Schizosaccharomyces pombe: one gene and its partners. The gene in region 1 interacts genetically with each later gene. Each region holds a gene or a part of one and is shown on either strand. Other genes may lie near its edges.

Evidence for each region.
Region 2: mutations in nrk1 (region 1) and pvg2 together harm fitness more than expected from each alone (negative genetic interaction), as found in Schizosaccharomyces pombe (one large-scale study listed by BioGRID).
Region 3: mutations in nrk1 (region 1) and rps1701 together harm fitness more than expected from each alone (negative genetic interaction), as found in Schizosaccharomyces pombe (one large-scale study listed by BioGRID).
Region 4: mutations in nrk1 (region 1) and asl1 together harm fitness more than expected from each alone (negative genetic interaction), as found in Schizosaccharomyces pombe (one large-scale study listed by BioGRID).

What each region holds. Positions count from the first base shown.
Region 1 is NC_003423.3:1,442,590-1,446,447, forward strand, and holds nrk1 (nicotinamide riboside kinase), read left to right. Parts: upstream 1-1,975; coding exon 1,976-2,007; exon of another isoform or gene 2,008-2,061; coding exon 2,062-2,086; exon of another isoform or gene 2,087-2,188; coding exon 2,189-2,257; exon of another isoform or gene 2,258-2,309; intron 2,310-2,431; coding exon 2,432-2,798; intron 2,799-2,884; coding exon 2,885-3,084; 3' UTR 3,085-3,342; downstream 3,343-3,858. Other genes in the region: Prp19 complex WD repeat protein Prp5, read left to right, coding at 3,523-3,858. UniProt on the Schizosaccharomyces pombe protein: Catalyzes the phosphorylation of nicotinamide riboside (NR) and nicotinic acid riboside (NaR) to form nicotinamide mononucleotide (NMN) and nicotinic acid mononucleotide (NaMN).
Region 2 is NC_003424.3:4,018,277-4,022,619, forward strand, and holds pvg2 (Golgi 4,6-pyruvylated galactose (PvGal) residue biosynthesis protein Pvg2), read left to right. Parts: upstream 1-1,598; 5' UTR 1,599-1,805; coding exon 1,806-2,975; 3' UTR 2,976-3,778; downstream 3,779-4,343. Other genes in the region: Tf2-6 (retrotransposable element/transposon Tf2-type), read left to right, coding at 4,216-4,343. UniProt on the Schizosaccharomyces pombe protein: Involved in cell wall biogenesis. Has a role in the addition of Gal-beta1,3 moeities to galactomannans and their subsequent pyruvylation. Has a role in meiosis.
Region 3 is NC_003423.3:602,951-606,093, reverse strand, and holds rps1701 (40S ribosomal protein eS17), read left to right. Parts: upstream 1-1,688; 5' UTR 1,689-1,716; coding exon 1,717-1,719; intron 1,720-1,723; exon of another isoform or gene 1,724-1,965; intron 1,966-1,997; coding exon 1,998-2,390; 3' UTR 2,391-2,537; downstream 2,538-3,143. Other genes in the region: protein new20, read left to right, coding at 1,174-1,361, 1,517-1,676; protein new14, read right to left, coding at 2,538-2,780. UniProt on the Schizosaccharomyces pombe protein: Component of the ribosome, a large ribonucleoprotein complex responsible for the synthesis of proteins in the cell.
Region 4 is NC_003424.3:191,396-195,946, reverse strand, and holds asl1 (O-glucosyl hydrolase Asl1), read left to right. Parts: upstream 1-1,896; 5' UTR 1,897-2,058; coding exon 2,059-3,651; 3' UTR 3,652-4,019; downstream 4,020-4,551. Other genes in the region: mevalonate kinase Erg12, read left to right, coding at 365-439, 689-1,828.

The DNA of each region.
Region 1 (3,858 bases):
GCTGGCACCAACAAATTAAGACGTTGTCAACTTGGTTAAGACAATTTGTTATGTAGATTTTTTATTTACAATTGCACAATTAAAGGCTCCAAAAAATTTGGGATATCTTAGGTTTTCCACATGCTGGTTTACGAATGGAAGGTTTGTAAGGAAAAGTAAATAAATGAAGTTCGTAACAATGCGTTATAAGAAAAGGAAAGCACATAGTAGAGTAAGTGGATTTTTGGACTAAACAACAGAAGTAGTATCTTTACAAAAACAATATTGTTTAAAAATTGACTTTTCTGAGATTATTTGTCCACGATCAGTTTAGTACATTGGTAATATCCATACATTGATGCATTGTTTACAGACATGTGGATAGATTTGAAATTCTATGAGGATAAAAGTTCATTGCCAACTTCGAATCTTGAGCTTCACTTGACGTTCCTCACTGATATAGTATTTTTTTTTATTTAATTGATTGTCAGTGTTTCGTCGTTTCGCTGTTAATTGAAAGGATGAGAAGAATTTATGCAAAGAGTATTATTTTATAATCTCTTTGAAAACTTACTATTCATAATCCGTAGTTTTACGTCTCATATTAGATTGATATAATGAACAAAGGTAGAGATCGGTACGGCTTTTTTTATTTTTTTATTAAACCAAAAGGTCTTTTAATTTCCTAATTACATTGGCATTCAATACAGATCCATTGAAATTCGATCAATATTGATTTCATTTTTAAAATAGTGTCCTTAAATTTCCTTAATGTTTGAATTCAGTATTTATTATTATTACTAATTCTATTGTTTCATCCAATTTACATGCAATTTATAGCTTTATTATATTTTATTTATTTTTTTATTTTTTTTTTGGAAAAGCAATTGAAGCTAGTCAAATTGGAAAACTGAAGCCAAACACCTAGTGTTAAAAAATTTTATATTTACTAAGTGTAGTACTACAAAAATCGTTTAACAAGGCCTCAAGAAACTCAACCAATATACATATATTTTTTAAATTCATCGAAATATTCGCATTTCATGGAGTTGATAAAAACTTTGCTACCGTAGAACTAAGTAAGTGTAATGTAAACAATAAGCAAAAGACATTAAAACGACTTAAAAAATGAAAATAGCAAACTAATATTATTCAGACATAGTTTATCACAAATTTGAAAGGAAAAAGCAATAATTAATAAAATAATTTTCGCAAAACAATTAAAGAATTCCAATTTCCTACATACTTTGGCTAAATAAATAAAAAAAGTGAACCACTTTTTTTTATCTAATCAAAAAATATATATATTTTAAACAAAAATTGTATTTTTTACTCTTATTATCTACCCTATCTTTTCGTAAAGGATACATGACGGGAGCGGATTAGTATATTGCTATCATCCAAAGCCTTGTATTATTGACTGATTATACTACTAACCATATCTTCATACTACCAACTCCAGCCTTCCTCCTATTTCACTCTTGTTTTAAACGATCAATAACTCAAAACACCATTAATCTTTACCGGGCATATTTGCCATATAAAAATTCTTATACGTATTCGAAAGCGTTAATATTTGGTGAATTTAAATTATCTTTCAAATCCTCCATTTATACCGTAAAGAATTTGTATACTCCTTTCTTTTTCCATTTTCTTATACTTGCGAAATCGTTATAAGTGATCTTTTACTTGTTCTTGTATATCTAAAAGTTTTGTTGGTTGTTATAAAATTTTGTGGATTCGGCTTCTTTACCACATATCTTTTTAAAATTCTCGTTTATTTCCATAACAAATAATCATCGAGCTTGATTTAAGATACTAGGCGCTTTGTTTAAATCCAAATTCTTTTTAAAATTCGGTTAACCTGTCTTACAGCTTTTGGCTGGTAATTAATTAATTGTGTTGTGCAAATATAACAGACCGAATTCCAGTATCCAGCTTCTGTCCAGGCTTCTTGTCTCAATTTTTACCTTCATTTTTCCATATTATCATTAGAATGACTCGGAAAACTATCATTGTTGGGGTTAGGTAAGTTCTACAGGCAATTGTTTTAATGAATTTTTATTAACAAGAAAAAATTAGTGGTGCCTCTTGTAGTGGAAAATCGGTATGATAATTTTGATTAATAAGAAAGAATAAAATAAAATCAAAAACTCCAAAATAAAAAAAAAATGAAGTACTAACCAATTTCTCTTTCTTGTTTTGACAGACTCTATGCCAGCTTTTACATGCCATTTTTGAAGGATCTTCTCTCGTTCATGAAGATGATTTTTACAAGGTTCGTTTAGATTATTTCGTCTATTTGCCTAGTCGTGCGAATTTTGCAAGTGTCATAGAATAAATCGTACCCTCGTTTTAAAAACCGATGGTTGAATCTTATCGATGAAGCAAACACTGTGTTTTTATGTAGTGCCAAAGCACCTATTGATATACTAACTCGTTTGTTTTGTAGACTGATGCTGAGATACCAGTCAAAAACGGCATTGCCGATTGGGATTGCCAAGAGTCGTTGAATTTAGACGCTTTCCTTGAAAATTTGCATTATATCCGTGATCATGGCGTGTTACCTACTCACCTTCGAAATAGGGAAAATAAAAATGTTGCTCCTGAAGCCCTAATAGAATACGCTGATATAATTAAAGAATTCAAGGCACCGGCCATTCCAACTTTGGAACAGCATCTCGTTTTCGTAGACGGATTTATGATGTACGTTAATGAAGACCTTATAAACGCATTTGATATTCGACTGATGCTGGTGACCGATTTTGATACGCTTAAGCGTCGTAGAGAAGCCCGTACTGGTTATATAACGTTGGAAGGTAAGAATTCAACTATCCAGATAAAACATAACACCTGTGTTTAATCGTTGTACCTTTCAGTTAAGGCTAACTCCAAATTGTTCCAGGATTTTGGCAAGACCCCCCACATTATTTCGAAAATTATGTTTGGCCTGGCTATGTACATGGTCATTCCCATTTGTTTGTCAATGGCGATGTGACAGGGAAATTGCTTGATAAGCGTATACAGTTAAGCCCTTCTAGTAAAATGTCTGTGAGAGATAACGTCCAATGGGCCATTAATTCAATTTTGAATGCTTTACAATGATCCGTTTTGATCTATCTTTTCTTCGACTTGTATTTTCTGAGTACTACCTGACTTATACACAAATCCTCTCTACCGCTTCTTTTTTTTCTTTTTAGACAAGACTACCTGTGCATGATTTACTTTTTAAATTCAGGGTTAATTAATTACTTTCCATCATTTCCTCCTCTCCATATATTTATTGCTACTATCGCTTTTAGAACATCATGTTATTAATAATCCGTAACTAGACCGTTTAATAAATGTATATATATTACAAACTTTTATTACTTGATAACCATCCCTTTTTTTATTTTGACAATTCATTTGTAAGCTACTTTATTCTCAAATATTAGTACTTAATATTTCTCGTTCGCTAATGTTCGTGGATTATGATGCTTCAAATAAGTCAGTCCAACTGCCATCTACCTACAAATCCTCTACCAAAAATTTAACAGATTTATGACAGAAGCAAAAAACATATCGGATGATACAGATGTACTTTCTTTGACTACAAATAGTCTTAGAACATCAAAAACTCTTTTTGGAGCCGAGTTTGGGTCAGTTACCAGTTTTGACGATACTGTAGCTCAAAATCTCAAAAGAACATACAAAGAACATTTAGAATATGGTTCTGTTCTTGGAGGAACTGTTGGAAAACGGAAGAACCGACATTACGAAGAAGACACTATTGGTAGTAATGCTTTGACGGTTAGAGCAGACAGTGAAAACCCTTCCTCCCAAGTGATCACCAAGTTTTCAGATCCTAATAAGAAAATAGCAGGGCAGGTTTCCATG
Region 2 (4,343 bases), on another chromosome or scaffold:
ACGTTAGTAATCGAAAACGAATATAATTCTTTAATTCATTGAGAATACAGCAGGGAAACCAGCAAGTGGAGAATACAGTGACACAGACGGTGCCTTGACGTACGTTAGTGGTGTATGTATATCGAAAACTAAGCTTGGTTTTGGATAATTGCTTTCTTCATGATTAATATGATTAATTTAATATCTTAGTAAAAATTCCTAATCAGTAGTTTAAGTCGTTTATTGGTTAAAAATAGAATGGTAGAATAAGACAAGTGATACACTAGGAGCTGATATTTAGTATACGCATAGACCCAAATTAATTCAAATGCTAGTATTTTTTGACTGTATAATAGTTTCTTCAAAAAGAGCTCTAGCAGCACTTCACAAAGGCCTAAAAACAGTAAAAAGATTGAAACTAGTGTATACAAAAATTAGGTGAGAAAATAAGATTGCATTCAGGAATTGATCGAGTCGAATTTTGTATTACCTTCAAGTATTTATCTTCCAGCAATGCGAAATCAAACTCATGTCAATGATTAAATAGAATAAAGAATCAATGCTGAATTTCTTTGAAATTGTTTTACGATATACGGTATAAAGAAGGATAAGTGTTTAAGATTCGAAATAGTGCTTTTTTAAAGAGATAATGATGTATTCCTTAAAATGATGCTGCACGGGATATTTCTTTGTTTAGCAATAAAGTAATTTGTGCCATTTACTGTTTCAATTTTTTCCAATATTTTTTTTTTTTTAAATTTGTTGTAATAATTTTTTAATTAAATTTTTTTTAAACAAGATATTCTAGCATATGCTGGCTAATTTTATTTTATTTACATATTTTTTAAATATTTAATAAAGTTTAACTATTGCTTCAATTTTTTCAAATACCTATTGAAAATGATTTTGAGCTGAATCACTGAGTGAATAAATCGATCCTTACAATAGCAGGCAATTGACAAGTTATAAGAAATTTAGTTGGAATCATTACATAGTTGCATTTTTAGAGTAACTGAATTTGAGTCATACACACATAAACTGAGTTCTTAAATGACTACGATAACCTCAGAATTACACACACGGTCATAGGGTAGGACATAGCTGGAATCTAAAAAATAAAAAAAAAAATACTGTATGTAATGCACAATATTATAGAATTTGTAGGAACTATAGAAAACAGATAATCCATAGATGCTTTGAGTAGGGATAAATCAACAAATAAAAGCATTTAAAACCAATTCGTATTTTCTTGATGCTTTGTTTACATACTTACTATGTACTGAGTATCTTATATCTACGCATCAGATAATCTACAGTAGTGCAAAGAGAATGCGTTATAAAATCTGAAGTTTCAAAGTTCATACTTGGTATATTTTGGGATGTCTACACTATAAAAGAGAATCTAAACCTCGATTAAAAAGATGGTCGTTCATAAGAAAATAAATGGGTCGGTAAAAGTTTCAATTTGTAATCATTGATTGCAAGCCCTGCTCATTTCCTAGGAAAACCATGACATAGTGATTTGCAAATATAAGTTTGCAAAATAGTATAATGAAACGCAGCGTAGTTGTAATCACAAAGACGCGGTTTTTGTGACATTTTGAACACACTACTCTAGTACGAACCATACTGACAAAGAAGTGTGCGGTTTGGTTTCACAATCCTTTATCTACTCATCTGTAATTCCTAACTCAGGCGCTTATTAAATTATTTAAAATCTGTGGAAATAATTGCGCCTTAAATGCATTAAAGCTCATTTGCACTTATAATATACTGTATAAATTAAATTGAATTCGACGTGAAATAAGCAGAAAAAAGGAGGAAAAATGACTAAACTCTGGGTAAATTTTTTCAGCCAGAAATTATTAAGGCTTTTAATCCCATCAATAATAGTGGTATTTGCTTTCGCTGCTCTATTTGCAATATACAGTCCCATTCAACTTGGAGGCATCAATTTCTATAAAAGAACCAACTTATTTACCGTTGAAGAATTGGGCGAAAAAGAATTGGAACTATCTAAGACCGTTACTATCGATATATACAGAAAAGCAATGTGCATGGATGATTTGGAGCAATCGCGCAAATGTACAACGTTCGGTTTGGATCCACCGATTTCTGCTCACTTATTTTACACATATAACCGTGATACGGGTATGAATAGAGTTGCGAGACAATGGAATCGAAGAATTCCAAGGGTATTTCATACCATTAAGGGATCTAATTTCATTGAATTGTCTCAATTCACGGCATTTGAAGTCGAACTTCGCGTAAGCCACCCAAATTGGGCTTTTGTTAGTTGGTCACATGATGATTTAAACGAATTAGTTGACAAATCATATCATAATCTTCATAATGCCTGGTCTCAGTTATCGCGTGAAGCTAAAGATCAGTGGGGATTTTTATTGGGATTGTATGAGTATGGCGGTGTTTGGATGTCTCGTTCTTTACAGCTTAAAAAAAATATTGATAAATTTGTTTATGCGGCGGAGTTATCCGTAAAACAATTTACAGAAAATATCACATCTTCGACTGTTGAGGAGTTCCAACCGATTTTTATGGCCCCAAAGTCCCTACAGTATGACTTTATGATTGCTACTCCTAAGCATCCGTTTGTTCTCTCTCTCATTAACGAACTTTGCAAGTCGGAAGTTTTATTAAAAATCCTTTCTAAAAGGCCCTATCATGGTCTTGATGCAGCTGAAGCGTTGTTTGCAGAAAACCGAGAGTCTATTACAATTCGTGAGCAAGAATTCTTTGTCAACACTTATATCGATGACGGGAAAGTTTTTGTGAAGAATAACCCTCACATCATTTTTATCCCAACAGAAGCCTTTGCTTCAACTTGGGACTTCCTTCCTAGTGAAGAATCTTCTGAAATGTGTTTCGCCGACTCTCCCCTGTTTGACCCTGACTATTGCATTAGCCACAGTTCAAAACCGGATGGGAACGAACTTGCCATATACTGGTCTAATTCATTCGACTTGATAACTGCTTGATGATATTATGATGTTTCATCTTTTTATCTTTTCACAAATTTAATTTCATTCAGCAAACAATAAACCTGACTTGATCCTTTAACTTTTTTTTTCTCTCTAAGGTATCACCTACAGTTATGTGCGTTTCTTCCTAATCATAGTTTTTATTTAATACTATTGCTAAGCATCCGTTTTATAATCAAATATTTTCTGTCGTGGAACTGTCCTGCAGCTTGTTTTTCTAATGTGCCAACTATGTCTTTACATTTAATGTTCTATGGTTCTATTGTCTTTCTTTCTTTTTTTTAGTTTTTTATTTTATCAGATCTAGGAAAAGCTTGTTTCTTAGTTTTTTAAATTCGATCCTTCATTTATTGTTCAACTGTAAAGTTTGTGATACTTTTATAGCTACTAACAGGTAATCAATCTTGTTCTCTCCTCTCTAGATTTCATTTTATTACAAATTAATGTTATTTAGGCAACAGCTTTTTCCTAATCGATTATTAAGCTTTAGAAAATACTATTTTTGAATTGAACCCCTTGCCAATAATAAACCAACTATTGAGCTCGGTTCTTATTCTAATTGTATTTGTAATAGTGAACTAAGTATGCTAAAGGATTCCTTGTTTTTTAAGTCTTCCAGAAATCCAGAAAGAAGCTCAATCAAAACAGCAAATATTATTGGTAAGGAACAATTTCCTGATCATAATAATGGTAAATGAATTTGTCTCTTCAATTTTATTTTATGTCAGCAATACTACACTACGCTATAATACACTACGTTGAGTATCACTATATGTCACATGTTCTAATTATATATCGTACCATGTATGATACGATATGGAGATTGATCTTAATGATAATCTATTAAGATCAATATTATCTGAATACTATAAATAGAGCTACTGCTGAACCTCGTTCCTCAGTTCAGTTATGAGCTATATTAGTGATAGGTAACATTATAACCCAGTTAATACAATACCTATACTCAGTTGCTACTTATACAACCTGTGTATCGTAATATAATAGATCACAAGGAAAACTCACCGCAGTTCTACGTATCCTTAAATCAGATACCAAACTGCGTAGCTTACAATAACTGAACTCTTGTGATCTACAATTAACTCCTTTTAGGAAAAAGGAATTATTGAATAAATATATATCATAAATATATATATTTCTCTCCTTCTGGGTTCAAAGGAGAAGGAACTTTGGAAGGACTGTTATCCCTTTTGAAATCTCCCAAAGGGAAACATATACAATGTCCTACGCAAATTATCGTTATATGAAAGCAAGAGCAAAACGATGGAGACCAGAGAATTTGGATGGAATTCAAACATCAGACGAACATTTAATAAACCTTTTTGCAAAAATATTATCGAAGCATGT
Region 3 (3,143 bases), 840 kb from region 1:
ATGCAAGAAAAAGCCAATTTTCGCTCACATGCTGCTGTGCAAAATAATGAAGGAACAAAACAGCAACCTTTAATATGTTTTCGGACTTATCGCTTGTTGCAGCACTTGAAGATTGTTTTGAAAAAAGGTGTTCTCATCTAGCCTGTCTGTTAATTGTAAATAGAAAACTCTAAAAAGAAGACACTGCGAACTTTGCTTCGAGCATATGCGGGGAACTATATAAGAGAATATACCAAAAATCTTTTTAAGGATGTTTTGAGAATTTAACTGAAAGGAGCACATTTACAAAATTTGAGATACATACATTAGTAATACATTTAGTTTCAAAAAAAATGCTTTTGGCATGAGTTCTTACTGTGTTTTTTTTTTAAATCATTTGTGGGCTAAGTAAATAGATGTACCGGTTTCGAGCAGAAGCCGATTAAGCAATAACACCTTTTCCTAAATCCATTTGTACTTGATTGACTCCCATATGAGACTATATATTCGTTCATACTAGGAAAAGTGCAAGGTACGAATAATTTCAATGCGCAGTTACAACAGATGCACGGGTGGATTTGGCACGAATCAAAGAACTCTGGTTAAAAATTTAATTTTTAAAAAATCATTTCCATAGAATCCCCCTTCTTTAATTTCAATGAAATTAGCTATAAACATATATACTACAAATGGAATTATATAACGATATCCGCCGACAAGCGTAATGTGCGACTTCATCAATGGGTAGGCTATATAAAGAATGCAAATGCTTATTTAATTGAAATATTGGATATTATTACCTATTCTATATTTCGTATTGCTGCTAGTTAGAGGTCGGCAATTTTAACACTCAAACCCTTTATTCATTCACTCATTTCAGCTTGAATTAATAAGCAGCAAATTTCGCCAACTCACGCCTCTCAACTAAGCCTGTAGCTCTCTCTTTAGAAGACATCGGAGGTTCGCACATAACAAGCAGTCTAGTATTGAGATACAAAATTTTTTTTTTTATCTTACTGTACCGAAAATTTGAACAATTTAAACTTTGCGCACAAAAATTTCAATACCTTGTAATTCGTAATTTTCGTTCTAATTGATAAAACTGCGATATCGTTATAGTAATACTGATCTGCTACACACAACTTAAACTGCAAGACTATTATAAAACGACATCTTCTTAGGATCGTTCACTTCATGAGTAATCAAGGAAAGGATTCTTTTAAAGCCTATTCATATTTTTGCCCGTGTGGTCAACTTTTTTTAACCATACATGTCTCTCTTACTCGTCTTCCGCAACGGCAACTAGATAAACGCCATGTTGTGGACGAAAAATTAAATCATATAGCACATTTCTCCACAGGCAACAAATATTACATTACTAGGTAAGTTGTTTTAACTTATCGTTCCTTATATAAACACATAAGCACCTGGTTTGTTGTTGGTTGATCATACATGTGGAAATTTTTTATTTGTTTACTGATTTTCGGAACGAAAATTTAATTTTCTCCACACATTAATTCACTAACCATCACAACAGAAGCGACGGAGGTTACGAACAACGAATACAGCTTTTATGTCGCAGATGTACACTGGAATGTGCATACGCTTTAGAAGCGGCGCCCGGTTACATATATGTGGACCCTACCCTAGTTAATGAAAAACCAGTCACAGTGTCGGTTTCTAACTTGAAAGAATAACCAAAGGAATTCAACCACTTCCATCTCGAATAACTTCAAAATGGTAAGTAGTTATAAAGCATGGTTGGAGTTGCAAAGTCGAAGCTCTCGGTCTATTTGAACAAAATTTACTCTTTAGTTTTGTAGCTTACTAAAGCCATAAATTGACGTTTTTTCTATGCGGCAAATATAAACATTTACTTAAACGTAGGTTCTCTTCACATGGTCCATTTGAATACACATAAAATTTTTTTTCTTTCATTCATGCTTCTCTTTGCAATCCTAATCCTTACGTTTATCTACGAAATTGATTTTTTTTGTGCATAACTAACATTCCTCTAGGGTCGTGTACGTACCAAAACTACCAAGAGAGCTTCCCGTGTGGTAATTGAAAAATATTACCCTCGTCTCACTCTTGATTTCCAAACCAACAAGAGAATTGTTGACGAAGTCGCTATCATCGCCTCTAAGCGTCTTCGTAATAAAATTGCCGGTTACACGACTCACTTAATGAAACGTATTCAACGTGGTCCCGTTCGTGGTATCTCCTTCAAGCTTCAAGAAGAGGAGCGTGAACGCAAGGATCAATACGTTCCTGAAGTTTCTGAGCTTGAGGTCGATCGTGTTAACGTTGACCAAGACACCAAGGACATGCTTAAGTCTCTTGGCTACGATCAAATTCCCGTCCGTGTGCTTGCTCCTGCCCCTCAAGAGCGTTTCCGTCGCAGACAGTAAATGAAATTTCGGTCGTAATGGGTCCATTTATACTTTTCAGTGCATAATTTGCCATTACTTGGCTTCATCTTTGTTTTCCTTTGATGTAGTTATTAAAATACTATTCAATGCGAATTTTTTGTATTTAAATTTCATCGTATTGTAAGGCTATTTTTTTTTGCTTCCCTTATATTGCAGTGTTTTTTTTAAGTTATTTAGCTTCCACATTCTTTGAGTAGAGAGATATATAAGAAGCAGATCAACATGTTCTTCTAATATGTTGGAATTGAGTAATATAGCATATGTTGATAAATTTTTTAGTATCCGTGCAATAGTATTACATTTAATAATTAAATGAAATGTGTTACCTGCTTTCTCTAAGTTTTCAATGATTTTTTCTTTTTTTTGCATTTATTTTGTGTTTGTGCAATAAACATTTTCATTATATTTTTGTTTGTGCAATAAACATTTTCATTTCTAAAACGTATCAATTGTCCTTAAATGAATTTTTATCAACACAGCAACATGTCAAACAGTGGCAGATGAATGTCTAATTTCCAAGGAAATTCATCATGATTAAAATTATTATTAATGACCCTTTTTTTACCCAAAAACATCTTTACGACATCGTTTACATGCTCAACCTCTTGTACCTATTATATTCTGTTTTTAAAAAATAAAAGAGATATACGAGCATAAATAAAACAGAGCCAACTATCCCTTTTATTTATTTTTATTTTTTGCATGTTTTATTAAAATAAATAAGCTATTCCT
Region 4 (4,551 bases), on another chromosome or scaffold:
GTTATCAATACTCATCATATATGTACTTGCTCTTGCTTTCTTGCTATAAGCTATAAATGTAGTATTTTATGGTTTTATGTAAATGTCTAACGAGTTTTGCGCTGTATACCTCGTTTAAAAAGTCATTTTCCTTAGCGCATATGAAAACTATAACATCGCGATTTTTATTACAAAAGAACTTTTAAAACAAAATCAAATAAAGTAACTTTTTAATTAAAATACCAATCTTTTGCTACAACTTCCAATACCATCATCACCTTGTCCTGTTTGCGTAGATATCTGTCGATAACCAACCTTCGTCGCCTATTTACCATCACCTTATTTTAACTGTGTTTTGAAGTTGAACGTAAAAAAAATTTCTGAAATGTCAAAATCGCTTATTGTTTCGTCGCCAGGAAAAACGATTTTGTTTGGGGAACATGCCGTTGTATATGGAGCTGTAAGTTTACCTAAGGTTTAAAGCAGATTACATTAGCGAGAGTTTTTAACAGGCTAGTACTGGATACAGCTCTGTTATGCATATATGATTTCTTTGTAACATAGTATTTGCAAAGCGAACACCACTTTTAACTTTGACAGTCGTCGCAAATGTCATTCTGCTATAGCCATGCTTATTTTTGATTCTAATCTTAAGCCATTTTAAAGCGAAAATATGGAGATCATTTAAATTTTTATGCTAACTTTCTAGACTGCGTTAGCTGCAGCTGTATCGTTACGGAGTTACTGTAAATTACAGACGACTAATAACAATGAAATAGTAATTGTGATGAGTGATATAGGGACCGAACGCCGATGGAATCTTCAATCGCTACCTTGGCAGCATGTAACAGTGGAAAACGTTCAGCACCCGGCATCATCTCCCAATCTGGACCTTTTACAAGGATTAGGAGAGCTATTAAAAAATGAAGAAAACGGACTTATTCACTCAGCAATGCTTTGTACCCTTTACTTGTTCACGTCTTTGTCTTCTCCTTCTCAGGGTTGTACTTTAACTATTAGCTCCCAAGTACCTTTGGGTGCTGGATTAGGTAGTAGTGCTACTATATCAGTTGTTGTCGCTACAAGTTTACTACTAGCTTTTGGTAATATTGAACCTCCTAGCTCAAATTCTCTTCAAAACAACAAAGCACTTGCGTTGATAGAGGCTTGGTCTTTTCTAGGTGAATGCTGTATTCATGGAACACCAAGTGGTATTGATAATGCAGTAGCAACAAATGGAGGACTTATCGCTTTTCGTAAAGCTACAGCTCATCAGAGTGCCATGAAAGAATTCTTAAAGCCTAAAGATACCTTATCTGTTATGATCACTGATACCAAACAACCAAAAAGTACTAAAAAACTTGTACAAGGAGTTTTTGAACTGAAGGAAAGACTACCAACTGTGATTGACTCAATAATAGATGCAATCGATGGCATATCAAAGTCTGCCGTCCTCGCATTGACTTCGGAGAGCGATAAAAACTCCTCCGCTAAAAAGTTAGGAGAGTTTATTGTTCTTAATCAAAAACTCTTAGAATGCTTGGGTGTATCCCATTATTCCATTGATCGCGTTTTACAAGCCACTAAGTCAATTGGATGGACGAAGCTTACAGGTGCCGGTGGTGGAGGTTGTACGATTACTTTATTAACACCTGAGTGCAAAGAAGAGGAATTTAAGTTATGTAAAGAATCACTATTAGCCCATAAAAATTCTATTTACGATGTTCAATTAGGTGGACCTGGTGTTTCAGTGGTAACCGACTCAGATTCATTTTTCCCTCAATATGAGTCTGACTTTGATTTTAAAAAATTGAATTTACTCAGCAAATTTAATAAATATTATATTTAAAGTTTTTATGTATAATCAAATTTTCATAACTGGTATATATATGAGTGGCTTGATAATGAACGCGGCTTGTCGTTCACCAACCACCACAGTAGAAGCTAGTCTATAAGAGTCGTTGTCCGTTCTTTAGCAACACTCCTTTCCACTCTTTTATATATCAACTATATACCAAATTTCATCTTTTCTTTCTTTTTTTAGTATTAGACGCGTTTTATCTAGTATTTTCTAAAAAAATGCGTACTACTTTCGCGACCGTCGCTTTAGCTTTTTTATCGACCGTTGGAGCTTTGCCCTATGCTCCTAACCATCGCCATCACCGTCGTGATGATGATGGCGTTTTAACCGTGTATGAGACTATCTTGGAGACTGTTTATGTTACCGCAGTTCCTGGTGCTAACTCATCTTCCTCATATACTTCTTACTCCACTGGTTTAGCTTCTGTTACCGAGTCGTCCGACGATGGTGCTTCAACGGCTTTACCTACTACCTCTACGGAATCTGTGGTTGTAACAACCAGTGCCCCTGCTGCTAGTTCCTCTGCCACTAGCTACCCTGCCACTTTTGTTAGTACTCCTCTATATACTATGGACAACGTTACTGCACCCGTATGGTCCAATACTTCTGTCCCTGTATCAACTCCCGAGACATCTGCCACTTCTAGTTCTGAATTTTTCACTTCGTATCCTGCTACCAGTTCCGAATCTAGCTCTTCTTATCCTGCTTCTAGTACTGAAGTTGCTAGCTCTTATTCTGCTTCTAGTACTGAAGTTACTAGTTCTTATCCTGCTAGCTCTGAAGTTGCTACGTCAACTTCATCCTATGTGGCTCCTGTCTCGTCTTCAGTTGCTTCTTCATCAGAGATATCAGCTGGCTCTGCTACATCTTACGTCCCCACTTCCTCATCATCTATTGCTCTTTCTTCTGTAGTTGCAAGTGCCAGTGTTTCTGCTGCTAACAAGGGAGTTAGTACTCCTGCTGTTTCTTCAGCTGCCGCCTCCTCTTCAGCTGTCGTTTCCTCTGTTGTCTCTAGTGCCACTTCTGTTGCTGCTTCTAGTACTATTTCCAGTGCTACCTCAAGCTCTGCATCAGCATCTCCTACTAGTTCTTCAGTTTCTGGCAAGCGCGGTTTGGCCTGGATTCCTGGAACTGACCTTGGTTACTCTGATAACTTTGTCAATAAGGGCATCAACTGGTATTACAACTGGGGTAGTTATTCATCTGGTCTGAGTTCCTCTTTTGAATATGTTCTCAACCAACATGATGCCAATAGCCTTTCTTCAGCTTCTTCTGTTTTCACTGGTGGTGCTACCGTCATTGGATTTAATGAGCCTGATTTGTCCGCTGCTGGAAATCCTATAGATGCAGCTACTGCAGCTAGTTATTATCTTCAATACTTAACACCTCTTCGTGAATCTGGTGCCATTGGTTATTTGGGATCACCTGCCATCAGTAACGTAGGTGAAGATTGGCTTTCTGAATTCATGAGCGCATGCTCTGATTGTAAGATCGATTTCATTGCTTGCCATTGGTATGGTATTGACTTTAGCAATTTGCAAGATTATATTAACTCTCTCGCCAATTACGGTCTCCCTATTTGGCTTACTGAATTTGCTTGCACCAACTGGGATGATAGCAATTTACCTTCATTGGATGAAGTTAAGACTTTGATGACCAGCGCTCTTGGCTTTTTAGATGGACATGGATCTGTTGAGCGTTACAGTTGGTTTGCTCCTGCTACCGAACTCGGAGCCGGTGTTGGTAATAACAATGCCCTTATCAGTTCCTCTGGTGGATTAAGTGAAGTCGGAGAGATTTATATTTCTTGAACTCCTTAAATTTACACAAAATGGGAAATTATCTTGTGAGATATAATGGTAATTCTTATGCTTTTTTTTCGTTCTTTAAACTGTCAAATACTCTTATTTCTTCTTGCTCTGAAACTCTTTTTTATGATATTTTGTTTCATGGTTTTTGTCGCTTTTTTTTGAATACTCTGCCATCTATCAGATTGTTTAAGCTTTCTGAACTATGCTTATAGGAGATGTGCTTCTTATTACATCGATCTTTCATTTATTCATTCGTTTATTTTACCAACCATGAAGTTCATTGTGTTTGATGTCACAATTTTTAAAGCGTGTATTCAATGAATATGCTGCGTGTTTTAATTTAATACAGTCGTTAAATGTCTTTTAAATTTTATTAGTAATCTTTTCTGTAAGCTTTGGAACTCTTGATAAAGTCGTTTAACTTTATTTGCTGACATTGTTGATGATCTGTAGTATAAAGGTAAATAATAAGCGAAAGTCTCGTCTATAAAATGAAAACAAATGCATAATTGACTGCTGTAATGATAAAACAACTATTTCTCCATTGCGCCATTGTGGGTGGTTTGATATCTGGGTGTTCTTTACATGCTTGTTTGCCTCTTTTCAAAAGGAGGTCTTAGCAACTTTGGACACACGAACAAGAAAAGGCTTATTGAACTATAGGATATTAGAAGCATGAGCAATTTAAGAGACATCACAAACTTAATTAGCAGATATTAAAAGAAAAAGTTATCTCGAATCTCTTGCGAAAAATTTATTAAAGTAACCTTTTTTTTGCATAGTTCTTTGCAGCAGATTTAACTTACGCCGAGTAATCTAGTACTAGATTCTTAACCTGCTCTACTCACTGTAATCATAAAAAGAAACTCTACTCATGCCCCTCTTACAAATGTTTTCAAC